Rattus norvegicus: one gene and its partners. The protein of the gene in region 4 interacts with the protein of the main gene of each other region in a pairwise test. Links are inferred from orthologs where the notes say so. Each region holds a gene or a part of one and is shown on either strand. Other genes may lie near its edges.

What was found.
Region 1: the proteins of Sdcbp (region 4) and Cox4i1 interact in binary tests that used the Homo sapiens proteins (3 or more experiments, as listed by UniProt). The two-hybrid records come from large-scale screens. The link is inferred for Rattus norvegicus from reciprocal best matches to the Homo sapiens genes SDCBP and COX4I1.
Region 2: the proteins of Sdcbp (region 4) and Cbr3 interact in binary tests that used the Homo sapiens proteins (3 or more experiments, as listed by UniProt). The two-hybrid records come from large-scale screens. The link is inferred for Rattus norvegicus from reciprocal best matches to the Homo sapiens genes SDCBP and CBR3.
Region 3: the proteins of Sdcbp (region 4) and Psmc6 interact in binary tests that used the Homo sapiens proteins (3 or more experiments, as listed by UniProt). The two-hybrid records come from large-scale screens. The link is inferred for Rattus norvegicus from reciprocal best matches to the Homo sapiens genes SDCBP and PSMC6.
Region 5: the proteins of Sdcbp (region 4) and Tnfaip8 interact in binary tests that used the Homo sapiens proteins (3 or more experiments, as listed by UniProt). The two-hybrid records come from large-scale screens. The link is inferred for Rattus norvegicus from reciprocal best matches to the Homo sapiens genes SDCBP and TNFAIP8.
Region 6: the proteins of Sdcbp (region 4) and Lztfl1 interact in binary tests that used the Homo sapiens proteins (3 or more experiments, as listed by UniProt). The two-hybrid records come from large-scale screens. The link is inferred for Rattus norvegicus from reciprocal best matches to the Homo sapiens genes SDCBP and LZTFL1.
Region 7: the proteins of Sdcbp (region 4) and Cdc34 interact in binary tests that used the Homo sapiens proteins (3 or more experiments, as listed by UniProt). The two-hybrid records come from large-scale screens. The link is inferred for Rattus norvegicus from reciprocal best matches to the Homo sapiens genes SDCBP and CDC34.

The regions. Positions count from the first base shown.
Region 1 is NC_086037.1:65,628,968-65,633,182, forward strand, and holds the start of Cox4i1 (cytochrome c oxidase subunit 4 isoform 1, mitochondrial precursor), read left to right. Parts: upstream 1-1,415; 5' UTR 1,416-1,503; intron 1,504-2,473; 5' UTR 2,474-2,474; coding exon 2,475-2,547; intron 2,548-4,215. Other genes in the region: Emc8 (ER membrane protein complex subunit 8), read right to left, coding at 935-1,156. UniProt on the Homo sapiens protein: Component of the cytochrome c oxidase, the last enzyme in the mitochondrial electron transport chain which drives oxidative phosphorylation.
Region 2 is NC_086029.1:46,476,817-46,481,094, forward strand, and holds the start of Cbr3 (carbonyl reductase [NADPH] 3), read left to right. Parts: upstream 1-1,478; 5' UTR 1,479-1,589; coding exon 1,590-1,878; intron 1,879-3,500; coding exon 3,501-3,608; intron 3,609-4,278. UniProt on the Homo sapiens protein: Catalyzes the NADPH-dependent reduction of carbonyl compounds to their corresponding alcohols. Has low NADPH-dependent oxidoreductase activity.
Region 3 is NC_086033.1:21,020,851-21,025,113, forward strand, and holds the start of Psmc6 (26S proteasome regulatory subunit 10B), read left to right. Parts: upstream 1-1,463; 5' UTR 1,464-1,476; coding exon 1,477-1,603; exon of another isoform or gene 1,604-1,776; intron 1,777-2,523; coding exon 2,524-2,603; intron 2,604-2,686; coding exon 2,687-2,726; intron 2,727-3,686; coding exon 3,687-3,739; intron 3,740-4,263. UniProt on the Homo sapiens protein: Component of the 26S proteasome, a multiprotein complex involved in the ATP-dependent degradation of ubiquitinated proteins.
Region 4 is NC_086023.1:24,307,999-24,311,498, forward strand, and holds part of Sdcbp (syntenin-1), read left to right. Parts: intron 1-418; coding exon 419-594; intron 595-3,500. UniProt on the Homo sapiens protein: Multifunctional adapter protein involved in diverse array of functions including trafficking of transmembrane proteins, neuro and immunomodulation, exosome biogenesis, and tumorigenesis.
Region 5 is NC_086036.1:45,482,966-45,486,536, forward strand, and holds the end of Tnfaip8 (tumor necrosis factor alpha-induced protein 8), read left to right. Parts: intron 1-1,405; coding exon 1,406-1,971; 3' UTR 1,972-3,071; downstream 3,072-3,571. UniProt on the Homo sapiens protein: Acts as a negative mediator of apoptosis and may play a role in tumor progression.
Region 6 is NC_086026.1:132,234,734-132,239,033, reverse strand, and holds the start of Lztfl1 (leucine zipper transcription factor-like protein 1), read left to right. Parts: upstream 1-1,500; 5' UTR 1,501-1,543; coding exon 1,544-1,546; intron 1,547-3,781; coding exon 3,782-3,906; intron 3,907-4,300. UniProt on the Homo sapiens protein: Regulates ciliary localization of the BBSome complex. Together with the BBSome complex, controls SMO ciliary trafficking and contributes to the sonic hedgehog (SHH) pathway regulation. May play a role in neurite outgrowth. May have tumor suppressor function.
Region 7 is NC_086025.1:10,670,808-10,675,080, reverse strand, and holds the start of Cdc34 (ubiquitin-conjugating enzyme E2 R1), read left to right. Parts: upstream 1-1,473; 5' UTR 1,474-1,491; coding exon 1,492-1,668; intron 1,669-3,868; coding exon 3,869-3,955; intron 3,956-4,055; coding exon 4,056-4,153; intron 4,154-4,273. UniProt on the Homo sapiens protein: E2 ubiquitin-conjugating enzyme that accepts ubiquitin from an E1 ubiquitin-activating protein, and catalyzes its covalent attachment to other proteins by an E3 ubiquitin-protein ligase complex. In vitro catalyzes 'Lys-48'-linked polyubiquitination.

The DNA of each region.
Region 1 (4,215 bases), on a different chromosome or scaffold from region 4:
ATTCTACAGAGTCCCAGACCAGCCAAGCCCACTAAAGTGAAACCTTGACTCCCAAAAATCAAAAGAAGAAATAAGATGTCAAGGAATGCTAGTTATGTCTGCAATCCCAGTTCCCAAGAACCTAGAGCAGGAAGTTTTGGTGGTCAGGGGCTAGTGTGAGGCTACATTCAAAGCAAGTCTGAGATTCAATGCAGCCATTTTGGGGGCGGGAGGGGGAGACAATATTAGCATTTCCTCCCGTGCCAGCTCAGGTTTTACATCCAGAGCTCATTCTGAGATGTAAATGAAGCTGTATTGAGAGTGGGTTGTTTTACATCCGGAAGCTTTTAATTCTAATACTGGCAGCAGGACAGATTTGTATCTCTGGTGCCTCAGGACAGCACCTGAGAGAGCTCCCAAGACGTAGCGCCTGGCCATAGCAATCTAGGGCTTTATAAAGGCAAACTCCACAAAGTTATAAATCTGGGTCTTGCAACTGTCTCTTGAGCAGAGGAAGCAAGATTGATTACAAAAGCAGAAATAGCAGTCGGTATTATGACTTATAATCTTGCTAAAACAGCAAGTTTTACAATAGTCTTCAGCTTCTGGGGGGGGGGGACAGGCCGACAAAATACAGTCTGTAAAACTAGAGGTTCACATGCTATAGGCATCTTCCCCACTCTGTGGTCTCACAAGCACATTAAGCTTAAACTTTAAACGTTAGCCATCCCAGGTCTCACTATGTAGACCAGGCTGGCCTCGAACTCAGGATCCGCTTGCCTCCCTATCCCGAGCGCTGCCTTTAAGAATGTACACCACACTCGGTTTCTTGGTAATTTTACGAAACTTCGAGAGCTCGCTCGTTAGGCTGCGTACTCGGGAGCAGGCGCTCCTCCTCCCTCGAAGGGCGCCTGACTTCGCCCAGCCCAGAACCCCGCCGTGGCCCCGAGCTTACTAGGGTGAGCGCCACCTCCAGCATGGGCGTCAGAGCCAGCGTGCCGTGGAAGAGCGGGATGCAGTCCACGAAGAGAGTGTGGTTGCCCGCGCCGGGAGGATGTTCCTTGCGCGGCCTCTGCCTCTCTGCCACCAGAAGCCCGTTGACGGCGCAGTGCGGGTACTTGGCGCCGTGTAGCACCATCTTGCAGTAGGCCTGGGTGGTCAGCTTCACGCCAGGCATGCTGAGCCTAGCTGGTCGCGTCGCGACCAACGCACCACAGTACGAAACACGACCCCACTGCACGCTAAGATGAGCTCCCACCACCAGCTACAGCCTCCCGCCTCAGTCCGCCCGCCGGAAAGCGTAGTCGCTAGCTAGCGTCTGCCAGAAAGCAGCGCGGCCTGCTCGGCCTTTCGCGACAGCTGCCGCACCGCGATCTGAAGCTGATGGACGTGGGCGGGGCTTCTTCGATTCCCGCGATGCTTCGCGGCACCGTCTTGCTCTTCCGGTGCGGGACCCGCTCTTCCGGTCGCGAGCACCCGGGGTGTAGAGGGCGGTCGCGGCGGTCGCCTGGGCAGCAGTGGCAGGTGACGGCCTTTGACAGCGGGTGAGGGCGGCGCGGCCATGGGCCGAGATCCTGGAGCGCCGGGGCCGGAGCGGTGCCTCCGAGGCGCCCCCGGACTCGGGACTTGAGCAGCTCCGTGACCTTGGGGCGCCCGCTTCCCGGGCGGATCTGTTGTCTTGGGTCCCCATTTGCCGTTCGGTTCCGGCCTGCCCAGCATCGGGCGTTCCCGCTCCGCCAGGCCCGAGGGACAGCGAGCTGAGTCCTGACGTCACGCTACGGTTTCTGCCGCCACGGGCGTTGTTTTTTGCGGTCTCGGGCGTTCGCTCTCGGGGAGCGAAATCAAGAGGGGTTGTGTTAAAGTGAGGCGTGGAGCTCGGGTCGCTGGGGCGGGTGACAGGGTCATCCAGGTCGCCTGCGGGCCGCAGGGACGGGAAGCGCGCCAGGGCTAGGGCTTGGGCGGCCTCCTCCGCTTGTCCTTCGCAGTCTCTGCGCAAGTCGATTTTTAAAATAAAACCAAGTCCGCAGGCGGTGCTCCCACCGCCACAGAGAGGAACAGCTCGTGGTGGCACCGTGCTATACCGAGTTCTAGCAGTTTCAGTCATTCTGGCCTTCTAGTTAATCTTTAAAAAGCTGCGTTTTCTAGTAAGTGGCCAAAGCCATGTATGTATATCACAGCCCTTGGTTTGATATCAGGAAGCTCTGTAAATGTGTACTGAGTAGAAGAACCTTATCCTGTGCTATTTCATGCCTTCTCCTCAGTAATAAAAACTGGCTTCTGGGTGCACGCCTCTGGCCTGCAATGCCAGCTCTTATGAGGTAGATATGGTAAGGTCAGCCTGTGCCTTAAAAAGCTGATGAAATCATACCAAAAAAATTTTTTTTAACGTTGGGGGAATAAGTTGCGTTTACTTCCTCAATGTTCTGTGGCAAAAAGACTTGTGCTAAAAGGTGTTTTCTCTCATTGTTAGGGATATACGTTTTTTATCTTTCAGAATGTTGGCTACCAGGGCACTTAGCCTAATTGGCAAGAGAGCCATTTCTACTTCGGTGTGCCTTCGGGCACATGGTAAGTGGGGCTTTTACTTCCTTTCCTTTTCTGTTTTCCTTCTTTGGTTTCTCATGACAGGGTTTCTCTGGGTAGCCCTAGCTGCCTTGGAGCTCAGAGACTTAACCTGCCTCTGCCTCTGCCTTTGCCTCCCGAGTTCCCTGGGATTAAAGATGTGCACCACCAGGCCTGGCTAAGGACTGTTACTTTCAAATAGGCCAACTTAATGTCATTTTGCCCCTAAGTCTAAGATCCTGTGCTAGGATTTTAACAAAGATGTCTGGTAGCTTGACCTTGCGGGGATTTTAGGGAGAGATGAGAATTTGAACAGGACGGTTGTCTGCTTGAAGGAGCATAGATAAATCCTGTTCGCCAGGATCTTGGCTTGCTTTAGTTTCCTCTCACAGTTTGTTTTCTAGTTCTCTCTTCCGTCCCTCCTTCTGCCCTTCCTTCCAGTCTCACTGTGCAGCTCTGACTGGCTTTGAACTCTCAGGGTTCCTGACTCTGCCTCCTGAATGCTATGGTTAAAGGTACAGTACCACACCGGTAAAGTTCTGTCCCTTCTGTCTGTCTCCATATCTTACTCTAATCTTTTCCACCCACAAAACTCTGACCCTCTTAAGCCCCCCTTCTGTTTCCATCCTGGAAGCAGTGGAAGCAAAGGCCGTTGGGTGGGCTTGAGTCAGAGCTGTGCGGATTGCATTGCAATCATGGCTAGCTCCTGCTGTTGTAAGGATCGGCCTTCTCAGCTGAAATATACAGACATGCAAGGTTTGGTTCTGAGCCTGGCATGTCACCACGTTATCTTGGCACTTGTGAAGCTGTTCTTCCTACCAGTGTTAGGCACTGAGACTAAGATAACGTGAGGTGGACCTTCCACAGAGCTTGCAGTATGGAGTGGGCTGGCCACGGGAAGGTAGCGTTAGCCCTAGAGGTGGACTGTGTAGCCTGGCTGGCACTTGGGAAGGCTTCTAGGAGAAGGGTTCTGCTGCCGAAGGGCTAGCAGTGTGAGGCATGAGGCTTGGGTTGTAGATGAGATGTTTGGAGAACCTTGTTCAGCATGTATTGAGTATGCAACAGCGGCCCTCCGTGTTGGTGTTAGTGCAGCCATCCTGCAGTAGTTCTAATGCTGTGTCCTGTTGTTCTCCCCCGGGGGCACCAGAGGTGCAGGCTGAGACATTAAGTGTTATTGAAGGGTTTGGGCAAGGAAAATCCCTCTTTTATTAACCAACATGAAAGACAGGCTCCATCTCCGAGCACGGGAAGCTGTGACAAGACCAATTTTCAGTTTGGCTTGGCTGTCATTTTATTAATCTGGCCAGTGGACAAGGAGCTTCAATCTCCTTGGACATCTGTGCTTACAGTATTAGGGCGCTTTGGGACTCCACTGGGGCACTGCTGTCAGTTGAGGTATTTGTGGTGTGAGGTGACTGAGAAGCGGTCTGAGCCCTAACGTCTGACAAGCCAGGCAGCGCTCACCTTGGGTGAGAACAGAAGTGATCTTTTGAGTACAGGGAGTCTTTGCCTTTCTTTGCCCTTCTATTATTTTGTAAATTTCCTCCAAAGATTCAGATTTACTAAGGCATGCAGGGCTACTGCGAACCCCTGATGTGTAAAGCCTGGCATGTGCCTGGGTAGGTTGGGAAGGTTTCTACAACCCAGGTCTACTTGGAAGTAAGGCTGTGAGCT
Region 2 (4,278 bases), on a different chromosome or scaffold from region 4:
TGTGTGCATGTGTGTGTGCGCATGTGTATGTGTGTGTATGTGTGTTTATGTGTGTGTGTTTGTGTGTGTGTATGTGTGTGCATGTGTGTGCATGTGTGTATGTGTGTGTATGTGTGTGTATGTGTGTTTATGTGTGTGTGTTTATGTGTATTTGTGTGTGTGTGGATGTGTGTGTGCATGTGTGTGCGTGTGTGTTTATATGTGTGTATGTGTGTATATGTGTGTGTGTGTGTGTGTGTGTGGTGCAGGGCTGGAGGCATGTACCCGTGTGTGCAGAGGCCAGACATTGACAAATGTCTTCCTCCATTCATCTCTTCCTGATTCTTTGAGGCAGAATCTCTCACTTGAACTCAGACCTTGACAACTTGGCTAACCAACTTGCCTGGGCAATCCTGCTTCTGGGATTACACACCAGCTGCCCTGCCTGACATTGTGTGGATCTTGGGGATTTGAATTCTAGTCCTTGTGACCTTTACCCGCTGAGCAGCAGCCTTGGCTCATTCACTTTCTCCCTTTTACTCAGTCCAGCATCCCAGCTCCGGAACCGTGCTTAGCTTAGGGTGGGTCTCATACCCTGTCAGCCTGAGAAACTCCCTCACAGACTGACAGACAGAGAGGTCCATCTCCTAGGTGGTTAGATCCTCTCAAGTTAACCATCACAGGCATGCCAGGCCCCCACAGAGCCTAGCATCTTCCAGACCTCAGGCGGGGTTAATTGAAACAGAAGGTGGAGTCAACAAACAAGAGGCGAAGGCAGTTTGACCGGATTTGCTTGGGAAACGCTGAATCACTGTGAGGATTTAATTGGCCTTAAACCTCAGAATCACTAGCCAAGTAGGATCAACACAGACTGGATTCCACTCAAGAAGGGAGGAGGTCTGACTGCATGCCCACATTTAGACGCGTCTGGAATTGTGTTCGTAGGTTCAGAATCTCCTTGGAAGACAATTCACATAGACCTAGACCAATACAGATCTATCTGCATGCCCATGTACACTTAGAATAAACCAAAGACCAAAGACGGGCACGGAGGGCTCCTGTACTACATGAGCCTTCTCTCCCACGTGGGGGCGCACCGAGACCTCCAGACGCGCAGAGCTCGCCCACACCTGTTCAGTCTACTCCCAGGCACTGTTCCCTCAAGTCCCTCAGCAAGCAGCGAGTGTGAATGTTAAGTAATCTCAGTGCTAGTTCGGTAGAAGCAAACGTTTGCATTTGCATAGAACGACGGGCTCTCGCCCAAGAAAATTACGGATCACTTATTTTCCTCCTTTTGAGGTTTCCCCAAAATAGTTGCTTCAATCCGACAGCCACGAGTCCCACTGACCCCTTCCTTTGGGAGCAGCGCTTGTCCCTGCCCAAGGCTTAAATCTGAACCAGGATCTCTACCCCGGCGGGCAGGCGGGAGGAGGCGGACCCTTCAGGAACGAGGGCTCCTCCTTGGAGGGGAGGGACCGACTTCTCAGGCCTTGTTCTCTAGCAGTCGCAGCGCCCAGTTCCAGAATCAAGTCCTACGCCAGGGTTCTGACCACGGCGTGACCCGCTGCCCAGCCGGTCTGACAGTCCGGTGGTCCGTGTGTCCCTCTGACATGTCGTCCTGCAGCCGCGTGGCCCTGGTGACTGGGGCTAACAAAGGCATCGGCTTCGCGATCACGCGTGACCTGTGTCGGAAATTCTCGGGGGACGTGGTGCTCACGGCGCGGGACGAGGCGCGGGGCCGCGCAGCGGTGAAGCAGCTGCAGGCGGAGGGCCTGAGCCCACGCTTCCACCAGCTGGACATCGACAACCCGCAGAGCATCCGCGCGCTGCGCGACTTTCTGCGCAAGGAGTACGGAGGACTTAACGTGCTGGTCAACAATGCGGGCATCGCCTTTAGAAGTAGGTGTGGGGCTCCAGGAGGAGGTGTCCGGGGTTCTCCGAGGGTGCAGGGCAGCGAGCCTCCGCGATCCGGAGGCTGCGCCATCCCGCCTGGGTGCGTCCGGCTCCCGCCCTGCGAGGCGTGTTCCCGCGTGCGGTGGGTGACTCGGGTGAGGGCACGCCCAGGCGTCCCACTCCACGCCCCACCCGGCCGGCGGCCTGTGCCGGCCTGTGCTCTGCCGGAGGCCCTCCTTGGAACTTTCAGCTGTGCCTGTTTGCAAGAAAACCAGCCTCCTGGGAGGGGACCACGCCTTGCCAAACTCATCAGCTTTCTGTCCCACGCACGAAAGCTTTTCTCAGAGAAGGGTCTTCCAAAAAAAAAAAAAAAAACCGGTTGGAGCTTTAGCTTTGCGTGAAACAAGGGCGCATTCATAGATCCCAGGAGACATCTGTTGAGGACAGGAAACGGGTCTCCCGGACACAATTAGCGCGCGCTGGCACGGGATAGTGAGTGGGTTTCCTACAGGCTTTAATGGAGTGTTTTGGGAGGCTCTAGCAAAAAGGAAGCGAGCCCTGCTTCCCCCCTCCTAGGGGAAACTAGGTTTGTTATTAAACTTAAAGCGGTTTGAAATCATCTCCCTTTAGGGGGGAAAAAAAATCAAGATCGCTTACTCCAACAAACGTTCAATTAGCAAAATTACCCAGTTGTCAGGTACTGGAACAGAAACAAACAGTTCTGCTTCACTTATAATGCTTAGAGAGCCAGGAGACCGACAAGGGGAGGAGACTACTGTGGAGCAGAAATCTATCAGGTTGGCCCTGGACAGGCATAGGCGCCTTGCATGAGACCCAAATCACCCTTCCACCCGCATTTCCAAACTCTCGCATTTCCAAACTCGGCCTGTGGGCTTCCGGGAAGGGGAGGGGTGAGTTCACCACCCCAGCCACTCTCAGCCTCGGATGGAAGATTTGGTGAATTACAGCCTTGGAAGTCCCTGCTTTTTTTTTTTTTTTTTTTTTTGGTTCTTTTTTTCGGAGCTGGGGACCGAACCCAGGGCCTTGCGCTTCCTAGGTAAGTGCTCTACCACTGAGCTAAATCCCCAGCCCCGGAAGTCCCTGCTTCTTAAGTGTGTGCCATGTGTATGCGAACTTCAGCAGCAGCTGCGCCCCTCACCACACACATACACACACACACACACACACACACACGCACGCACGCACGCACGCGCGCGCGCTGAGTTCTTACACCTGCCGCACCAGAGCCTGCATCTTTACCCAACCTCCAGGAACCGCCTACTTGAATTCAAGCTTGAGATGGGAAGATCAAAACTGGGTGTTCTTGAGATGCGGCATGAGCGGGGCTGATGAGAAACTTGGGATGCGGACCAGAAAGTTCTTTCCTTATGCTCACAGAGCTTTAGAAAAATCAAGTTCTAGTTTAAAGGTGTGTGTGTGTGTGTGTGTGTGTGTGTGTGTGTGTGTGTGTGTGTGGTTTACAGATGTGTGTATCACCAAGCTCACCCAGACTGTTCTAGAGTTAGCATGCTTCTCCTTTAGCGGCTATGTGATGGGATCCAACTTCTCACACGAGTTTCAGAGGAAAATGTAATTCCTCTTTCGTTTCTTCCTTGTACCTTTCAAAGTGGATGATCCAACGCCCTTCGACGTTCAAGCTGAGGTGACACTGAAGACGAACTTCTTTGCCACTAGAAATGTCTGCACCGAGCTGCTGCCCATAATGAAACCACATGGTAAGTCCAAAGTAGGACTACTGTCCCTCAGGAAGTGGCCACCGGTCCCTCAAATAGGGGAACTGACAGGAACCTCTCAAGGTTGCCATGCACGAAACTGCTCAAGGTTGCCATGCACTCGTGAGATGGAGGGTAGAATGTGCTTGTGGGATGGAGGGTAAAAGCCGCCTTATTTAATCAAGGTTTCTGGCTTTGTACTTGAGCCTCTTAGCTGTGCTTGTTGGGACTCTGTGGTAGTGATCAGTGTTCTTGAGGTCTGTGTCATGATCGCCACCTCCATCACAAGATGCAGCATGCCCCCAAAGGTCTGTGACAGTTTTAGAGAGTGCCCTCCCCCAGACCCCCAGGCATTGCAAGGATGGGCCCACCTCTGTCTTCTCTGGCGTTATAACATTCCTTCTATTCCTTTCTTCTTATGGGAAACTTAAAAAAAAAAAAACTTATGAGAAAGGTTTTTTTTCTAGATGTTGTGAGCTGGCTGAAAGGATCCAAAAGAAATAGCTTTTGTAGGGAAATGCCTTAATTATTAATTATTCTTAATTTCCTTCTAATGTTTATTGGGAGCCCACCATTTTACCATTAAACCCAGCACTGGTGCTATAATTGGACCCATCACACACAGGAGGACCATTTTATCCACAGGGCCTGAAGCTGAGTTGGAAGACAAAGA
Region 3 (4,263 bases), on a different chromosome or scaffold from region 4:
ATTTCCTTCCAGTCCTGCTGGCCTCCTTTCCCTGATAGACGTGAGCCAAGCTCCCCTCTACCTCAGAGTCACGCACTGCACTTGCTGTTTAATCTGTTCAGAAGGCTCTCCACGTGCTGACATAGCGGGGCACCACCTCATCTCAGATGTTTTCAAATTTTATTCTCCTCCTTACCCCATAGTATTCTTTTATTTCAATTGTAGCATTTACTACATTAGGATATTTTTATGATTTATTATCGTTTATGCATCTGTACATGTGCACCCTCATACCACCTTTAGGTGGGTTCCACGAATCTAATTCAGGTCACCTGACTTCCATGGCAGGTTCTTTTGCCCACTGAACCATCATCTCTCTGGCCCCTATTCAAGCCATTTTTCATGTCCTTATTAGATCAGAAGGAGGTGAGTACTTTATTGAGTAGCTGTAAATTGCTTACTTCTGCCCATGCAGTTGATATGAACAGGCTGCATCTGGGGGCTGGAAAGTGGTTCCAGCTCTCCCTTAAGATCTCTGTGTGTTTGTGGAGTGTATTAATTTCCTTTTAGAGTGCTGGGGTTAAACTCAGGGCCTTCTGTGTGCTAGGTAAACACTCTACGAATGTTACACTCCCAACCTGTCAATAACATAGTCACTGAGCCAGGAGAGATAGCTCAAAGGGTAATCGCTCTTGTTGCTCTTGGCAGAGCAATAATGTCCACATAGTGGCTCACAATCATCTGTAATTCTAGTTTCAGGGGATCATGCGGCTTCTTCTTACTTCCTCCAGCACCAGGCACACACGTGCTGTACACACATACATGCAGGCAAGACATTTATATGCATAAAATAAAATAGATAAGATTTAAAAAAAAAATCACAGCAGCTTGCAACTACAGAGCCGGAAAATCTCGTGCCCTCTATTGGCCTCTGTGAACACTTGCCCTCCTGAGTTAGACACACACACACACACGAATAAATAATTTGGGAAAGAAAAAGGCTGAATCTGGAAATGTAACTGTTGGAAAAGCACTTGCCTAGCATGCAGGAGACCCTGAATTCGATTTCCACATAGCACATACTGAATGTCCGATTTATGCCTGTAATTTCACTAGGAAGCAGGGGGACCAGAGTTCAAGCCCTCAGCTGCGTGGTGAGTGACAAGGCAGCCTGGGTTACAAGACACTGTCTCAAAAAAAATAGTCTTGTCATTTCCTCTTCCTTTTCAGTTCATTACAGAGCCTTTGGCGTTCTAGGAAAGCAGTGACTTAATATTGAGCCAGTCAGTAGCTGCGTCCGGCATTGCTCATTCTGGCCTGCAGGGGACAGTGTGACCATCTTCAGCGTTTTCGAGGCTTTCAGCCACTCTAGGTGACTCAAGATACTCAGGCTCCGGGAGCGAGAGGCGGGCCAGCCGGAAGGGGCGGAGCCAGCCACGATCCCGCCCCAGGCCGCCTCTGCGCCCTCGCCCCGCCCCCTCCCCCGCCCGGGCTGCTATGGCCCTTCCCGGCATCCCCTATGAGCGACGGCTTCTCATCATGGCGGACCCTAGAGATAAGGCGCTTCAGGACTACCGCAAGAAGCTGCTAGAACACAAGGAGATTGACGGCCGTCTTAAGGAGCGTGAGTGAGCCTTGACACACTCTCTAGTGCCTGGACCGGCTTCCGTCTCTGATAGAGTGGAGGCTTCGGCAGAGCCCGAAAACAGAGCGCCCGGCTTGGGAAGGCCTGAGTCCAGGGACGAGGCGCTTTGTCATCCCGCCCCGTGCTGGGGTGCAGCACCGCCTCGGCCGTGGGTATGGCCCCAGCCCCAGTCCGGTGGCATAGGGAACAGCCACAGTTCCGAGGTGGAAGGGAAGGGGAGGATTAGAGGAGTGAGGAACAGGTGGGCTGGGGACATATCCCAGGTGCAAGGAAGGCAGGGTTGGAGTCTCGGGACCTGGGGACGGGAGGACTTTTGAGCCAAAGAAGCTCCAGCAGGATGTGGGACTCTTGGAGGAGGCTTGCACTTGGAGTAGAGAGGACGCAGTGGTTGTGATAACCCTTCTCGTCTTTCCTCGGGATTCATACTAAGTGCCAAGTTTCCGTACACCTTGAGCATTTGCGTTTTGAAAAGCCTGCGTAATTTAATTAAACGAGAGAATACCGCAGCCTATGATTCGGTGAAGAATTGCGTTGGTTGGCTTTATTTATATCGACAACCAGAGAGTAAGCCAGGTAGTGTAGCTATGGGAGGCTTGATTCACCAATTATCATTTAGTTTTGTAGCAAATCTGAAAGTGGCAAGACTATCACTATCTGTTAAGAATGTAACTTAAAAATGCCTCTGCTCAAGTATTTCATTCCAAGAAAATAGATATATGGTACTTTCTCTGTTACGTTTCCTTTTAAAACATGCCACTTGTCCATTAACAAACTGCAAATTCTTTTTTCGTGGTTTGATACTGTGGGTATGAAACCTACAGAAGGTAAAAGAGACCTAAGTAAAAAATTTTAATGCAGTTATTGTTTTAATTTAAAGTGTCAACGTTTTATTATTTCAGTAAGGGAACAATTAAAAGAACTTACCAAGCAGTATGAAAAGTCTGAAAATGATCTGAAGGCACTACAAAGTGTTGGACAGGTGGGTGATAGATACAGCTTGAAAGTGTTTTGCCATTTTTTTAAACTACTGGCAAGAGATAATGCACCTTTTTTCTTTTTCAGATTGTAGGCGAAGTGCTTAAACAGTTAACAGAAGAAAAGTGTAAGTGGATTGACTTACTAATTAGTTAAAAAAACAAAAAGCCCCAGTTCCTTCTCAACTCTTAAAGATTTATTTATTTATTTTATGTATGTGAGTACACTGTCGCTGTCTTCAGACACATCAGAAGAGGGCATCAGATCTCATTATAGATGGTTGTGAGCCACCATGTGGTTGCTGGGAATTGAACTCAGGACCTCTGGAAGAGTAGTCAGTGCTCTTAACCACTGAGCCATCATCTCTCCAGCCCCCCTTTTTAAAAAAGATTTATTTATTTATTTATTTTACCTTCTCAACTTTTGAAATGCCCATTTTATTTTGATTTTCGAGGCCAGGTACTAACTACTATGTAGCTCTGGATGCAGCTTCCTATGGGGACTAGGCTGGCCTTGAACTCACAAAGAGATCTGCCTGCCTTTGCTTTCTAGTGCCAGGATTTTAGGCATGTGTGCCATTATGAAAGGCTATTTTAATTCTTACTGCATTTATTATTTGTGTGTGTGTGTTCCTCTGTCCCTATGCACACATGTGTATGCATATGTGTGTGCATTCATGTGCATGTGCATAACTGTGGAGATCAAAGGACAATTTGTGGGAGTTAGTTTTTTCCTTCCGCCATGTAAGCTAGGACCCAAGGCTTGGCTTTAGTCAGATCAATGGGCTTGGGTGTAAGTGCCTTTATTTATTAAGCTATCAGGATAGCCCTGAAGTGCCTAGTATTTTAGTAACAACAATACAAGGAGTTGGTCTTTTACATAAGCTAAATTTTGTATTTACTGTTCTTGGAGGTCAGAAGTAAAACTACACTCACCATAGATGTATTTGTTTTCTAACTTTTTTTTCTTTTCTTTTTTTTGGAGCTGGGGACCGAACCCAGGGCCTTGTGCTTGCTAGGCAAGCGCTCTACCACTGAGCTAAATCCCCAACCCCATTTTCTAACTTTTTCAATTGTTCTTCTTCCAGTCATTGTTAAAGCAACAAACGGACCAAGATACGTCGTAGGCTGTCGTCGGCAGGTAATGCCTTCTGTCTGTATACGCTTTGTAACTGAGAAAAACACTTTTGTGTAAGTTACCTAATTCTTGAGATAGGTGGGTGAGGCATTGTGCCCATAACTCCCCTGAGTACTTCGTTAGACACAGCAAATGACTAGCAAAATCCGGAATTTCTTAGTCCCTACTGTTTCACATATTGCCCTAGTCAGATATCTGTACTTAGAAATCAGATCATTTTAGAACTAGGAAAAAAAATGCTTTAGTATGATGTCTTCCTTGAAAAGGGTATCAGTTGTCCATGTTTTACATTTAAACATTCAAAATCATTACTTACAGACTCTACAGTAGTTGGTTTTAGACATTTAGACCAGAATGGGCAAGTTGAAGTGCCTCTGAATTTCATTTGTAGACTTACAATGTCAGTAAGGAGTTTAGAATGAATCAGTAGCATCTGCGGTTTATGTATCATTCTAGTCTTTAGGAAGCGTCTTAACCATTTACTGAAGGACTTTTCCTGAGAGTATTTGCCGTATTGAGTTTAAGTT
Region 4 (3,500 bases):
CAGGTCAGTCAGTGGGATGCTGCCTGTTGCTACTGCTTCATGGCAGATCTCATGTCTGGTCCACCACAGACTGTAGGCTTGTGCTCGGTTCAAAGTCTGATTGAACCAACAGAAGTTCAAGATAAGTGTGTGTGTCCTGGGAGTTTATTGTTAGAAGTACTTTGTTGTTGCTATTGTTTATCCCCAGTTTTATTGATTATTTTAAGAGATGAATAAAGTGGCCTTTGAGCTAAAAAAATACGGAATTGTTACCCCAAACTATCATTTAATTGTTTTTATAATTGTTTGTGTTGAGTGTTGGCCGGCATATTTGTGCACCATATACATGCCTGGTATCCTTACAGGTCAGAAAATAATGCCAGGTCCCCAGAAACTGGAGTTACATGTAGCAGTGATAAATTATTTTCTTGTTCTCTAGGGTATATTTGTTCAACTAGTCCAGGCTAATTCCCCAGCCTCCTTGGTTGGGCTGCGATTTGGGGACCAGGTGCTCCAGATCAATGGTGAAAACTGTGCCGGCTGGAGCTCCGATAAGGCACACAAGGTGCTCAAGCAGGCCTTTGGAGAGAAGATTACCATGACCATTCGTGATAGGTGAGCTGCTCCCCACCAGTGACACTGAAGTGCAAGCCCATATTTAAATAGAGTTGTCTACTTTTTATTTTTTAAGGCAAATATTGATTTATTACATCTTGCTGTTAGGTGTTTTTCTTACGTAGTTAGATTCTTTTCATAGAAGTCTACATTTGCATATACATTTTACCACCCTGTCTGGGAATCTGTCCTCTAAGCAAGCTTTCCTGTCTCTCTCTCTGGAAAGGTTATATATGCATCAGGAGTAACTGATGTAGGAAGGGCTGTGGCCTCACTCTGTAGCACACTGCCTAAGCGTCCAGTGCCAGGGCCCCTTGTCATGAGGACTAAATGTCAGAGAGTTCCTAAGGACTCAGTTTTGAAACCAAATCTGGTCTGGGGTGGTTGTGCAGTTAAGTAAAAGAGGATGAGTCATTCTGCATGGTCGGTGGTCTACTTTTAACCTGGAAACTGTACAAAAATGATTTGCCTCTTTTCTTCCCAGCTCCCACAAGTATTAAGACCAGTATCACCACTCTGAGAGAGTAAAAGTGACATTGATCAAAAAATGTTTATTAAATTCCTAAATGTAATAAAAATGGAAAAGTCCATAAAATTGTTTTAATGTGTAAAGCAGAATTTCATAAAAATTGGACCAGGTCTGGCCAGTTTGGTTCCCATACCCAATAGGGTGGGTCACAGCCGCCTGTAATATCTGTTCCTTTCTTCATAGGCACCTGCACTCACATGCACAGGCCCACCTGTGCCTTTTTTTTTAAAAAAAAGCAGTAACATTGCAAATACAAAGACATCACATGTTGGAATTCACCAGACTCAAACATTATAAACCTCAGGGAACCTCTGTACAGATGTTCATCTATCCGGAATCTCAGGGAACCTCTGTACTGATGTACAGCTATCCGGAACAGAAGCTGTGGAGGGAGCTTCATGGTGGATTTTACATTTCCACCCTAGAATGTATTTTTTGAGTTACTCACAACTATAAGCAAATTCATGAAAGAAAAGAAATCACTTTAACTTCTTTTATAACTCAGTGTGGACCAGCTGCATTCAGTCCTTTCCTTTGCCCTAACCTTTACCGTATTGCTTTCCATGTTGTATCGTGTGCACCTTTGTTTATGTGCATACACTATTGGCTAGGTTCCGACTGGGAGGAAAGTGCATCTCGGTTAACTCCAGCTCATTGCTGTAGTGAATAAAGCAGGACTAAGTGTAGGGGCACAAGTGTGTCAGCAGCAGGCTGTGGGGTTCTCTGCATGTAGTGTGTGCCTAGGGGTGAAGTAGTAAGGCCATGTGCTAATTTAATGTTTTGTTTTGTTTTTTTTTGTGTTTTATTTTTTTTGAGAAGCTTCTAAACTTATTAGTGGCTATATTAATTTGTACCCTTGTTTTTTGATAATAGTCATTTTGATGAGTGGAGGGGTAGTATCTTGAAGTAGTTTTAATTTGCATTTTCTTGATGACTGAGCAGTTTTTGTGCGCTGAGAGGTTGAGACAGTTTCTCTGTGTGGCCCTGGCTGTTCTGGAACTCACTTTGTAGACTGTTCTGTCCCTGAACTTTAGAGATCTGCCTGCCTCTGCCTCCCGAGGGCTGAGGTTAAAGGGTGGAATTAAAGGCATGTGCCACCTCCCCGCTGAACTTTTTAACATAGTTACTGGACCTTTTAAGTTATTTTGAAAAAATATTTTATTAGTTCATTTGACCGTCTGTTGATTGGTGACTTTATTTCCTTAGTATGTAATTTCTGCAACTATTTATAAATTCTGGGTGTTAGCAGCTTGTCTGAAGTTTGGTAAAGGCTGCCCATGCTGTGGCCTTTTGCTGTGCTGATTGTTTCCTCTGGTGTACAGAAATATTTTGTTTCCATGTGGTCCCATCTTGAATCTTGGGCTTCATCCCTTTACTGTTGCTGCTCTACGCAGAGTTGTTGTCAACCTCAAGTGCTTGAAGGGTGTCCCTGTGGTTTCTTCTAGAAGTTGGAGCCATTTAGGATTTAGGATTCTGGTCCATTTTTATTTTATTTTAGTACAAAGTGAATCTAATTTCACTCATCCACAGGTAGAATCTGTTTTGCCAGTGTTGTTTCTTGAATTGTTTTTTCCCCATTATATGATTTTGCTTTTGTTGCCAAATCTTTTCGTGCACTCACTCCGTTGCGGTGGTCTTGTGTTTACACCAGCCCCAAGAGTTCTTCAGGCTGTAGCGGTGGGTGCTCTGCTCCTGAGTATGGCAGCCCCAGCAGCGTCCTCGCTCCTCAGCATCCCTTTGGCCCGCTGCACTCTTCTAAGGGCCCAAGGGAATTCTTGGTTTGCTTTTTTTTCTAAACCTGTAAAGTCCAATATTAGAATTTTGATAGGTATTGCATTAAATCTGCAAATTAATTGTGTTGTAGTAAAGGTATTTTTATAATAATTCGGCCAATCCAGTTGCTTGGACTTGCCATCATCAATTAACTTCTGTGGTTTCCTTTTTCAGTATCTTTTGCATTGGGAGAATCTGTCACTTACAGAAAGGGCTTTCACATCTTTGGCTAGATATATTCTTAAATGATTTAAAAAGTTACTTTGAATGGAGTTGGACTAATAGGAAGGTAGAGCTGCAGACTTTCCTGCTGTAAACAGAGCACGTTCAGAAAGTCAGTCAGCGAGCATTAGTGGCATGACAGCTTCTGCAGGCAGAGCTCGAGGCCTTTTTAACTGTAGCTTGTGCCTTCCCGTCCAGTCAGGCCTCATGAACCCCCACTCACTGCTTCTCTGGTGGGTCTTTCACATTAGAGCCAAGTTTTGCCTGTAATCCCGGCCACCTAGGTGGGGTCCTGGCGCACGTGGTGGGGAGAGCTCATCCTGCAACTTACACTTTATGCATAGCACACCTAGTAAGTAAGTGAAAGGAACGAATCCGTGAA
Region 5 (3,571 bases), on a different chromosome or scaffold from region 4:
AGACCACAAACCTGCTTTAGATTCAGATTTTAAATGTAATGTGGATCCTCTTTGTCTCCACCTGACATCTAGCATGAAACTTGCTCATATATGACCTCCTAGCCTGGGTTTTGTAGTTCTGCTATTTTGCTTCCTACTGATGCTAGCTTTTGTCAAACAAGAGATCACTTTATATCACCAGTGCCTTGAGCTGTCCACCTTTATCACTAAGTGGTTATACGCCAACTGCTCTAAGTTTTCTGGAATGTACGGAGAGAACAGAAATTTCTGGAAACTCAAAGTACTGCAGTTCTGAGACCCTCAGCCAGGGGAAGAAGAAAAAGGGGAGTCCTAGACAAGCAGTCATATTGCAGCCAGCACATAGAAGGGGTAATCCTGAGAGAGCGGAGCTGATGTTGGTTTGTTGAGAGTTTGCACTGGGGCTCTAAGCTAGAAGCATTTTGTATGTCATTAATCTGTAATTTATGCAATTCTTCTGTGTGCGTTGAACATCTGCCAAATTAAGTCACGAGCATTCCAGAAGTCGACTCTGGGGGCCAGCTTTTCCAGAGGCTATTTTGCATGTAGCGTGTGTCATTGGCTCACTTTAAACTTATTTCCTCGAAACTTAAAAGCAAGAGTGGACCAGGAACAGCAGCTGACAGTGAGGTCTCTCTGGAGTATAACCTTTCAGAAGTTGACATCTGAGAGTGAAATTCAAAGTGGGTGGGATGGCTGGGAGAGCGATGACCGAAGGCTTAGGCACTTAGGCTTTCTGTAGCTGGTTCACAAGACAGGGCTGTCCTTGGGGTTCGCTGGAGTAAATATGCTATTGTACTCTGTATTGTAGCCTTGTTACCTATCCTACTTTCATTCAAGTGAGTTTAAGTTGTGTAGTTTGCAACTGCCTAGAAGATAGGTATAGAGTTGACTTAAACTTTTAAATATTCATATAATTAAGCTAAATAAAAAAGGCATAAAATTTTGCCGCCTCGTGAGACATAGTATTTCATCTTTAGATTTATTTTTTATATGACTATGCATACATCTGTGTGAGCACATGCTACATGTATGCAAGTACTCAGAAGAGGATGTCAGCTCGCCATAGAGCTGGAGTTACAGACAGTTGTGAGCCTGCCATCATGGGCACTGGGTTCTAAAGGTCCTCTACAGAGCAGCAAGTGCTCTTAACCTCCGAGCTATCGCCCCAACTACCGAAACATAATATTTTCAAATCAAAGGTTATTTTCAAGGAAGGTATCAACTTTAATGGCTATATGAACAGTATATCAGTAATTGGGAAACAAACTGTAAATAGTGAAGGAATGAGGGGAAGTACTCCTAATACTTGGAGGTTTGTCTGGTTTTGTTTTACTTGCTGTTAACTGATCTTTTGTTCTTTCTACCCTGTTGTTTTATTCTCTAGTGGCTACAGATGTCTTTAATTCCAAAAACCTGGCCGTTCAGGCACAAAAGAAGATCCTGGGTAAAATGGTATCCAAATCCATCGCCACCACCCTGATCGATGACACCAGCAGCGAGGTCCTGGATGAGCTGTACAGGGTGACCAAGGAGTACACCCAGAACAAGAAGGAGGCAGAGAAGGTCATCAAGAACCTCATCAAGACGGTCATCAAGCTGGCCGTTCTCCACAGGAACAATCAGTTCAACCAAGACGAGCTGGCCTTGATGGAGAAGTTCAAGAGAAAGGTGCACCAGCTGGCCATGACGGTGGTGAGCTTTCACCAGGTAGAGTACACCTTTGACCGCAACGTGCTGTCCAGGCTGCTGAACGAGTGCCGAGAGCTCCTGCACGACATCATTCAGCGCCACCTTACCGCCAAGTCTCACGGACGGGTTAATAACGTCTTTGATCATTTTTCAGATTGTGATTTTTTGGCTGCCTTGTATAATCCCTTTGGAAAATTTAAACCTCACTTACAGAAACTTTGTGACGGCATCAACAAAATGTTGGATGAAGAGAACATATGAGCTTGTGAGAGAAGACCGTGACCAGCAGCGATTTTTGTGACGTGGAGCACTGCTGACTCATAAAGGGAAGACAGAGAATCTTTTAGAGATCGCATGTTTTTCAGAAAGGCTTGGCCCCATACAGCCTGTTGTTGTTGGACATTCATAGTAGAACTCCTGTGTGGCTTGTTGTATTTGAAAGAAAGAAAAAAAGCATATTGCTAAAAAATCTGGCTGAAAATACCTTAATGAATGGCAGGATGTGGGAAAAATGGATGGTTGGTCATTCAGATGTCTAGTGATACAAAGACAGATGAGTGTGGCCCCAAGCGCTGGCACTTGCTGTGTTTTAGGGGAATCGTATTGGTGGCACATTGGATATTTCTAATATGTATTAAAGCTGTGTATCTTGACTCACCTTTATCCTTTGCTATGTCTGCGTATCTCTCTTAAAATGCCAAGAACCTCTCTTTTGCTGTCATCGATCCTTTGGAAACAATTTTGCTTCTTTAGTTACAGGTTGTCATTGACCTTTAGGAATTAAATCTGAGGGGTTGGGGATTTAGCTCAGTGGTAGAGCGCTCAAGGCCCTGGGTTCGGTCCCCAGCTCCGAAAAAAAGAAAAACAAAAGGGAATTAAATCTGAGGCAGTCAAACCGAATGCTCAGGAAAGCAGAGACCTGCATCTGAAGTCATGACCGTGGAAATGAGCAATCTTAACATCGTGAGTAACATCCACCGCAGCTTTTGAAGCTGAGTCCTACTTTTTAGTACCATCAGTGAGACTTAGAGTCTCAAAACCAGTGGCATGGCATTGCCTTGAAATACTTGCTTAGGGCCTAACTTTGATGTCATCTTGAACAGGTGCTCACATGTTCCCGTATTAACATCCATTTCACCCGTAGGAAGAATAAATTCCTAGATTGGCTTTGATATTGAGACAACAACATGTAAGTAGCATTTCAGAAATAAAAAGAAAAACTTCTTGAGTTTAAAGATGAACTCATCAGGTTGACTTAGGGGGGAAAGGATAGCAAGGATGTTGCGAAGTAATGTAAGAAAGATGCATGAATTTCAGTGTGAATGGGGATTGATGAATAAAAGACGCCATTTTTTATTTAATGCCTGGGATTTCGATTGTGTTATTTGCTATTTTGAGGAATGGACTGGTGTCCATATCTGTCTTCAGCACTTGGTGTGCCATGTCTGTATAATTTCTGGTGTGTAGATAATGAAGTAAACCCTTGCTTATTGTGTAAAAGAACTAGAAGCCATCTGGGAAGCAACAGACCCAGCCACTGACACTAAATATTGTCATTGCCACCGAGCCTATCGTTTGTCTACCTCAAGAATATTGACAGTGAAATAAAGATCCACCAGCAACGATCCCATGGGTGAAAATCCGGAAGTTAAGACCTGCTTTGACCCATCACAGATTGGAAGGAAGTGGTCAGGTTTCTTTGAGACCCAGCTTTTTCAGTAAAGATAAACAGCAATGCTTGTGTGATGTCAAATCCTGATTTGAGCTGGAAGTATATATAATTCTTCCCTCCTGGAGCCTCTGGATGGTTCCTAGAGGTTATTACACTAAAGTAATGGCTGCATTGCTGATTATTGGACTT
Region 6 (4,300 bases), on a different chromosome or scaffold from region 4:
AGACAACAGTCCTGAATTGGCTCTCTTCTGCCATGTAGATCCGGAAAATCGAATAAGGTAATCAGGCTTGTCAGGAAGTGCCTTTACCTGCTGAACCTACGGCCAGCCCTCAAATTGATTTTTAAATTAAGCTTAGCTCCTGTGATAATTATTGTTTTCTGACTAATAATATTATTTAGATAGAATAAAATGACAAAAATGAAAGAAGATTCTTGAAACTAGAATCATATTTAATGTCCACTGTATTAGAACACCTGGCAATAGTCTTTTGATTTTTTTTGTCTTGAAAACACATTTATATTGCTTTAAGACTCAAGCATCAAAGCCCCCATCTACCTTTCCAGTCTGTAGAATCTCAGTCTCTTCCTCTCCAAGTAGTTCTGGAACCATGTCTCTAAAACTCTTCTGCATCTAAAAGCACCCAACTGTGATTCACTTTATACTCTACTTTGTACTGACTGTGAAAGACAATCTCAAAACGCACCATCAAAATTAACTTTTGATAACTCAGAGCTAATGTTAAATGTTTGTTCCCTCCTGTTTTAAGTCTCCCGGGCTCAGAAGGCTAGCAGTTCTGCATGATGTTGGCTTACTCAGTGCCTCCTCAAAAGATATGGTGCTGGCCTATAGTGGCTGTATGCTCATCAGATAGGGTACCCAATATTTGCGATAACCTCTTTCTATACTTGTCTTTCATAGGACAGTGTCTTTTTTTTTTTTTTTAAGACAGGGTTTCATTATGTAACCCTGAATGGCCTTGTACTCACAGAGATCCTTCTGCCCCTGCTTTACAAGTGCTGGAGTTAAAGACAAGACCATCATGGCAGACCAAGGACAGTGTCTTAATTAGAGGTGGTCATCACTTTGGAACAAGGCTAAACTTGCAAATTCTAATGACTCAAGCTAGACTTCGTAAGTGAAAACGTTCGCCAGGGAGATCAGGACATTATTCTACAACCTTCTCCTGGCGAATCTAGTGTCTGTCTCTCTAATTCACTGCTCTATATGAACCTATGTTTTTGTACATTTTTTAAAAGGTAAAGTTAGTCTCTTGTGTCAGCATTATAAAATAATGCAGATGGAGAAAGGGCATGCATCATTGCCAGCACTAGCTTGTTAGCTGAAGCCCTGTTCATTCAGCCGGTTATTCTCAGAGGGTGCCGAAGTCCGGAATCGCTCTGGATCCTGGTGCCAAAGCCCAACTTCTGTCCTGACCGTAGGCAAACACGCTGGCACCTCGAGCCAGCCCCCAACCCCCCGGAACCCCGCCCCATTTCTCTGTTGCCACTGGCAACGGCAGGCACCGCCCCAGGTTAGCGTGGCAAGAAAAGGTGGGACTTCCGGATCTCAAAGCCAATGTACCTGAAGAAATTAGCCAGTTACGCAGCACTTTCTGTCACGTGACACTAAGAGCCAATGATAGTGTATAACCGAGGGCCCACGTGTCTCCGTTCCCATTGGCAACCCGCGGCTTCTAAACAACCTACTTTCCTCAGGCCCCAAGTGCTGGCCTCCCTGTTTCCTGTCTGATCCCTCCACAACCATGGTGAGTATCCTGGTCGGGAGAGGGCCCGGCCCGGGAGCGGACGACGAGCGGGGCCTCGCTGGGGAGGGAGGCTGGAATCACCTCGGCCGAGTCGCGGTGAGAGCGTCCTCGCTGAAGCCTTTCTCCGGCTTTGTCACCCCATTCCCTGGTGTGGTCTGGGAAGCCCTGGCCCTCACAGCAGCACGCATTTGCCAGTATGAAGAATTAGGGGCTGGTTCCAACTTTCTGAAGCACCTTACAGCTGATTAAATATGGGTGGTGTTTTCTTTGTTTGGACTTCTGAAGACTATTTGGGTATTAGAGTTCGGGCTTACCTTGAGACTGAAAACACCAGTTCATCCAACCTCTCACCAAACAATTAATTTAAATAGCCATACATAGATAAAAGCACGGAAATGAAGTTGAAGGATGTGTCACTTTGTACACATCTGAACAAAACAGACCATTTCTTAAACAATTCTGAGCTTAGAACTGGTCTTGTTTCACCTGATTTCAAAAACGAAAAAAGAAAAAGTTGCTAGTGGTGTAACAAAAAAAAGTTAGTACTTGTTTGTGTTCTTACTCTTTTGTCAGTTTGATACCACTTGGAACCGTGTAGATTATTCATTAATAAGTTGAAAGTTATACAAGGGTTGATACAATGATTCATCTAAACAAAGCACATAAGACATAAAATTTTTAAGCAATAAGCCCACTCTTCCTTTTTAAAAATAATTTTTTTTTTGGTTCTTTTTTTCGGAGCTGGGGACCGAACCCAGGGCCTTGCGCTTCCTAGGCAAGTGCTTTACCACTGAGCTAAATCCCCAACCTTAAAAATATTTTTATCCTTTAAAGATTTTATACATTCATACAATGTACTTAAAATCCTTCCCCCAGATTCTTTCAGAATTATCTTGCACTTCCTGCCCTGTTTGTTTTTTTTTTTTTTTTTAAGCCTACCTAGTCCAATTTGTGCTGCCCATGTACTCATATGTGTGGGACCATCACCTTTCTTGGGCCACACTCTTAAAAGAAACTGACTCTCTACCCTTCATAAATCAACTGTTGGTAACTCCTCAGCTAGAAGTGGGGTCTCATAAATCCCTCCGTGTCTCTATGCTGGATTGTTAATTGGCCTGACTTCGTGCAGGCAACCACAGTTGGGAGTTCCTAGTTCAGCAGTTCTGTCATGTCTAGAAGACATCTTTGTTGTTGCTGTTTCAAGACAGGGTTTATCTGTATAGCCCTGTTTTGAATCTCTCTCTGTAGACCAGGCTGGCCTCAAACATAGATCCACCTGCCTATGCCTATGCCTCTGCCTCCTTAGTGTTGTAAATAAAGGCTTGTGCAACCACTGCCCAGAAAGAAGGCATGGTTTTGGTCCGCTCCCCACGGATGTTTTTGTCTTTTGCTCCCTCTTCAAAGATAGTTTCTGAGCCTTGCAGGGGGACAGAGGGATGATATCCTGGTTGTGGCTAAGCTGATTGGGTCTGAGAGCTGCACTTATCTATGCAGCTTCTTAATTTTAGAACAATATCTGGTTTATTAAGAAGACTATAGTATCTGTTTTCAAGCCAGATATACCTTTTAAGGCTGTATTTGGTAAGGTTACATTTCTGTAGCGATCTGAAAATCAGTGAATAAGGAATACAGGCATTCATTTCCCCTCACGCAGCAGCCATCTCATACAGATTAGTGAGTGAGTCGGTGCTGCTCCATGAGGTGAAGACCGAGGTCTTATTCATCCTTCTGTTCTTCCAGCCCTGGGGCATAAAAATGGCATGGCTCATCCTAGTTACTTACTCTGCCTACTTTCAGAGACATTAGAGATGACAGAGGTATAAGGTATACCCCATATCTTAAGTCTTTGAAAAATACCCCACACCTCTTTGGAGTCCTTCTTTTCCTGAGAAGTAGTCATGTGACCTGAGTGTATTTGGCTGCAAGGTAGCTGGGTAGGGAGAGGACAGGAGGGCAACCTGATACACATCTATCAGTTACTACAACACAGTATCATGAGCATCACTGGTTACTGTTATTGTTTGAGACTGTATCTCTGGGTAGCCCTGGCTGTCCTGAAGCTCACTATGTAGATCAGGCTGGTCTCAAAGGCACAGAGATCTGCCTGCCTCTGCCTCCTGAGTGCTGAGATTAAAGGCAGGTGCCAGTACACCATGCCCAACAAATTACCTTGTTCATTTTTGTTGTCATTTCTTTTGTCATCTCCTCAGGACTAACCAGTTCTCTCTTTTTCAGGCAGAGTTGGGCCTAAATGAGCACCATCAAAATGAAGTCATTAATTACATGCGTTTCGCTCGTTCAAAAAGAGGCTTGAGACTTAAAACGGTAGATTCCTGCTTTCAAGACCTCAAGGAAAGCAGGTATCAAGAGATTTTAAGGCCTAACTTCTTAAAACTGTGGGTCATATAACTGAATGAATGTGGATTCCTTAAAAATTTGGCATTAGTAAAAGTTTCTTAAAATGTAATCACTAAAAATTATTTCATAATTAAATACAAAATGACTCTGAAGTGTTCTGGCAGCATTTCCCAGTTTTATCTCGTGACTTCACTGCAGCCATCATTCTGAACACACTGCAGGCACAGTTGACACAGCCCAGGCCAACCTGCCCCGCAACATCAGTACCAGCCGCCTGAAACTCTTTGACATAGGCTATTGTATGCTTTGACTTGCAGTTAAGTATTCTGCTCTTAGGGAGACGTAATGTTGACAGAGACCTAATATTTTCTTACCATCATTTCTCAGCAGGTAATT
Region 7 (4,273 bases), on a different chromosome or scaffold from region 4:
TGGGCTATTTGCTATGTGCTGACAACTAGGTGACAGTGTAAGGTGGGCAATCTGGCCTGGACAACAGGGAACAGATGATACTGGAAGCCCTTGAAAAAGGAGTATGACCAGAAAGCTTTCTAGCCCAAGGGCCCAGAGTTCCCAGGGGGAGGACAGGCAAGTGGCATTGGATCCTTGGCTCTTCCTGGTCACATCAACCAGCCCCACCTTTGACACTGTTTCCCTATCCCCAAACAGGTCTGCCTGATATCCCCAGCCAGGACAGGATGTTGGCACACCTGTGGGGGGTTACGGGGCGGGGGAGCTGCCTTTTCCCAGCCCCAGTTATTGATGCAGCTGTAGTCCTTCAGGACACCCACAGTCCAGCTGTGTGAACAACACAGCCTAGGGCCAGAACCACCCACCCCTAGAGGTCACGGGTACACCACACACCTGTCTGCAAGGCTTGAATATGCTGCCACCTCAATACTCATGACCAAATGTCCAAGAAAGGAGTGTGGGTGTCTATGCCGGTCAACCTCGGGGACTTTGCGTGTCTGTTCCCGCTCCTGTAACTTTCCAGGATGCCTCACCACTGCTTAAGCAGGACTAGGGTGTGGTCAAAGGACAGCCTGACATGAGAGTCCTCCCAGGGTAGAGGTTAGCACTCCACCCGCTGGAAGCCAGGTCTGCAAACCCCAAATCGTCGATTCTGTGGGCCCTCCTTCTACCTGAGCCCATAGAGACAATATAGGGACATCCATAGCTTCATGATGGGAAACTAGGGCGGATCCTGCTCCGCTCCCGCACAAGCCACGCCCAACTCCCCACCCACAACCACGCCCCCTTGACGTCACAGAAAAGGCCCCCAAAGCCGCAGCTGCCACTCCGCAGCGCGCAGCCCAGCCCTGCCCGCCACTCCGCACACAGGCATCCGCGGAGCTCTTCCGGCCGGAGGCGACGGCGGCCTCCGGGGCTTCGGAAACGCAAGGCGCCTGCGCGGCAGGGCGGGGGAAGAAGACTACACTTCCCGGCGTGCCCCGCGGGCGGGCGCGCAGACACATTCCGGACCCGGTGGAGGCGTCGCACAGGCGCATTCTAGACCCGGCAGTGGCGCGCAGGTGCATTTCCGGCCCGGCAGCAGCGGCGCGCAGCCGCATTCGGGGCCCGGGTGTGGCACGCAGGCGCATTCGGGGTCCGAAGGAGGCACGCAGGCGCATTCGGGGCCGGGAGCCGGTGCGCAGGCGCATTCGAGGCCCGGCGGCTGCGGCGCGCAGGCGCGTTAGGCGCGGGCCGGGCCGGGCCGAAGCGAGCGCCGGGCGGGCAGCGGCGCCAGAGCGAGTGGAGCCTTCGGGGTCCCCGGGTGGTGGCGGCGGCGGCGGCGCAGAGGAGGAAGGCGGCGGCTCTCCCCCTGCCGGCGCGCGACCCGGTCCGTCCCGCGAGCTCGCGCCGGTCCCGCGGCCCGGCCCGGCCCCGGCCCCGGGCCCCTCCGCCGCCGCCGCCGTCACCGCCATGGCCCGGCCGCTGGTGCCCAGCTCGCAGAAGGCGCTGCTGCTGGAGCTGAAGGGGCTGCAGGAGGAGCCGGTGGAGGGCTTCCGGGTGACGCTGGTGGACGAGGGCGACCTGTACAACTGGGAGGTGGCCATCTTCGGACCCCCCAACACCTACTATGAGGGCGGCTACTTCAAGGTGAGCCGAGCCTCAGTTTCCTCTTTGTGCCTGCCTCTCTCCCAGGCTGGCTCAGGCCCCTCGTGCAAAGCGGCCCCTCCCTTTTTTGTTGGGCACGTGCTGACCTCACCCCGGGGACTGGTCTCCCTATACTGTTCTCCAGCAGGCTACATGACCAGAGACAGCTAATGTATGCCGCACCCCCAGGCAGACCCCCACTACAAGACGTAGGGGCCTCTAGAGCCTGCTGCTGGTCAGTGTGTTCCCAGGCTGTCGTGCACTGGACTAAGCATGTACCTGGGGATGTATCTCCCCGTGTTGTCCCCACTCTTCCAACATGCTTCTGGTGAAGGGTCTCCCCAGGGACAGTTGCTGGCCTTCTTGTTCCGGTGTAGTTCTCCCCACCACAAGACGCAGAAGCATCTGGAGCCCTCTGCTGGCAAGCATGTTCCCAGGTTGTCCCTCACCCCACCAGCATGTGGTGAAACCTGAAAAGGTTCACCTTAGTTTGTCCATATCTCAAGACATAAAGGACCACGGGCAGCTGCTGGCTGACATCCCCAGGCCTGTCCCCTACCCTGGAACACAACCAGAGCAGCCACTGGCCGATGTGTCCCCAGGGAAGAGACGTGTAGCCTGGACAGCCACCTGCTCCAGTTCCAGTAGAGGCCCTGGCAGGGCCTTGGCAGCCGTGCCTGTTGGACAACAGCCACCTTTAGCACTGGCCAGGCTTCACGTAATGCATTCAAGGGGGTGGTGGGGGCCCACCCTGAATCTTGGAGCCACACCTTGGGTTCCTGCCAAGGGCCCTGGACCCTAGAGCTCTCTGTTTGCCCCACCCTGACAGCCTTTCTCAGGTTCCACTGAACAGGTGGAGTCTTAGGGGCCTGATTTTTCCTTCTAAGGGGTGTCGTCTGCCCTCTGGTGGCTTCAGGCTCAATGCACCAGATGTTTTTGTGGTTGGGAGCAGGGAGGCTTAGGCAGCCCCCAACACTGAGTATGTTTGGCCAGGTATAGGTACCCATGTCAGCACAGTTGAATCATCCTGCCTGCCATGGACTAGAACTAGCAGAATCACAGGATCTTATGTTAGGGCCAAAGGTGCACGCAAACCCCAGCCAGTCTGGGGCCCCAGATGTAGGGCCGTGGCACTTATTTGTTCTGCGTCTTCCTTTGTGGCTGATGTCCTCACCCTTCTTGGTCAGTGCTTAGGAAAGTCACAAGTCTCCTTATGCAGGGGAATGTTTGAGTTAGGGTTTCCAGGTACAGCATGTGGAGAACGGGAGGGAGACACATGTGGACACCCTCGCTTCCCACCTGGAGGTGGTCTGAACTGAGCCGCCTTCAGGACATGCAGATGCTGTTAGCACCTTGTCTCCTGTGTTTGCGGGGGGGGGGGGGGGGGTGCTCAGAGCAGGGTCACCTGAACTCTTCCTTGCCCGTAAAGGATTGTGGGTAGAGCCTCCTAGGCTCACATTGTTCTTGAGGTAGCTTAGGAGGAGGCCCTGCATGATGTCACTCAAATCCGCCAATGTAGGAGCTTCCTATATGGTGTGAGTGACTGAGACGTGGGGAGTCTCTGTAGGAGGGGAGCTGTGAGGAGCTTCTCTGGACAGCCCAGCCTGTCTCACTTGAGAGAACCCTTCCTGTTCTGAGCCTCAGTCTGCTCATTCTTAGAAGCATCTGGAGCCCCAGAAGTGTGGGGTGTTGTTCCAGCAATGCCACCTTCCCCATCTGCTCTCCTGAGAGGATCGGGGTGGCAACTCCACACTAGGTTTGTGTGCGCCAGGCAGAACACTGGAAGCTGTCCTTGGGGAGCTCCAAGACTAGGGCAAATCTCAGGCCTTCTCTATCTGTCCAAGGTCGGGGCAGTGGGCAGGGTGAGCTTCAGCCACAAGCAGTTGCTGTGACCAGGCAGATGGTTCCAGCTTGTCTGGTGACTACTCTTGGCCTGGGCCCCTGAGCTTGGGTGGTGTTGGTGGGAGGCCTGAGGCCAGGCAGACCTGCTGACTCACTCCTCTAGCTAGCCCACACCTTTCCTAACCGCCTTGCCTTTCCTAACCTGGATGTCAAGTCACAGAGGTGTGCTGTGTGTATACTGGTGTACAAAGACTGGAGTTGGCTTCAGGGCCTGTACACCAGCGGCAGGTGGGCACAGCCCCTGACTCCAGCAGTGCTCGGGGGCCTGCCATTGAGCCACCCCATTTTCTGCCATCTGTAGGCTCGCCTCAAGTTCCCCATCGACTACCCATATTCCCCACCAGCCTTCCGGTTCCTCACCAAGATGTGGCACCCAAACATCTATGAGGTAAGACACTAGAGGCCTGCTTCAGGCACACTCCACCACACACTTCTCTGCCTCCCTTGCACATGCCCCACCCCTCCTCTAACCCTGGTCACTCTTGCAGACAGGGGACGTATGCATCTCCATCCTCCATCCCCCAGTTGATGACCCACAGAGTGGGGAGCTACCCTCAGAGCGGTGGAACCCCACGCAGAATGTCAGGTGAGAATTGCCATGGAACTGCACCGTGGGCACCCGCAAACACCCTGTACCCTAAGATCCACCCTTCCCTGCTCCAGTCAGGGGTTCCCAGAGTCTGGGGAGCTGAGCTTGCACCTACGG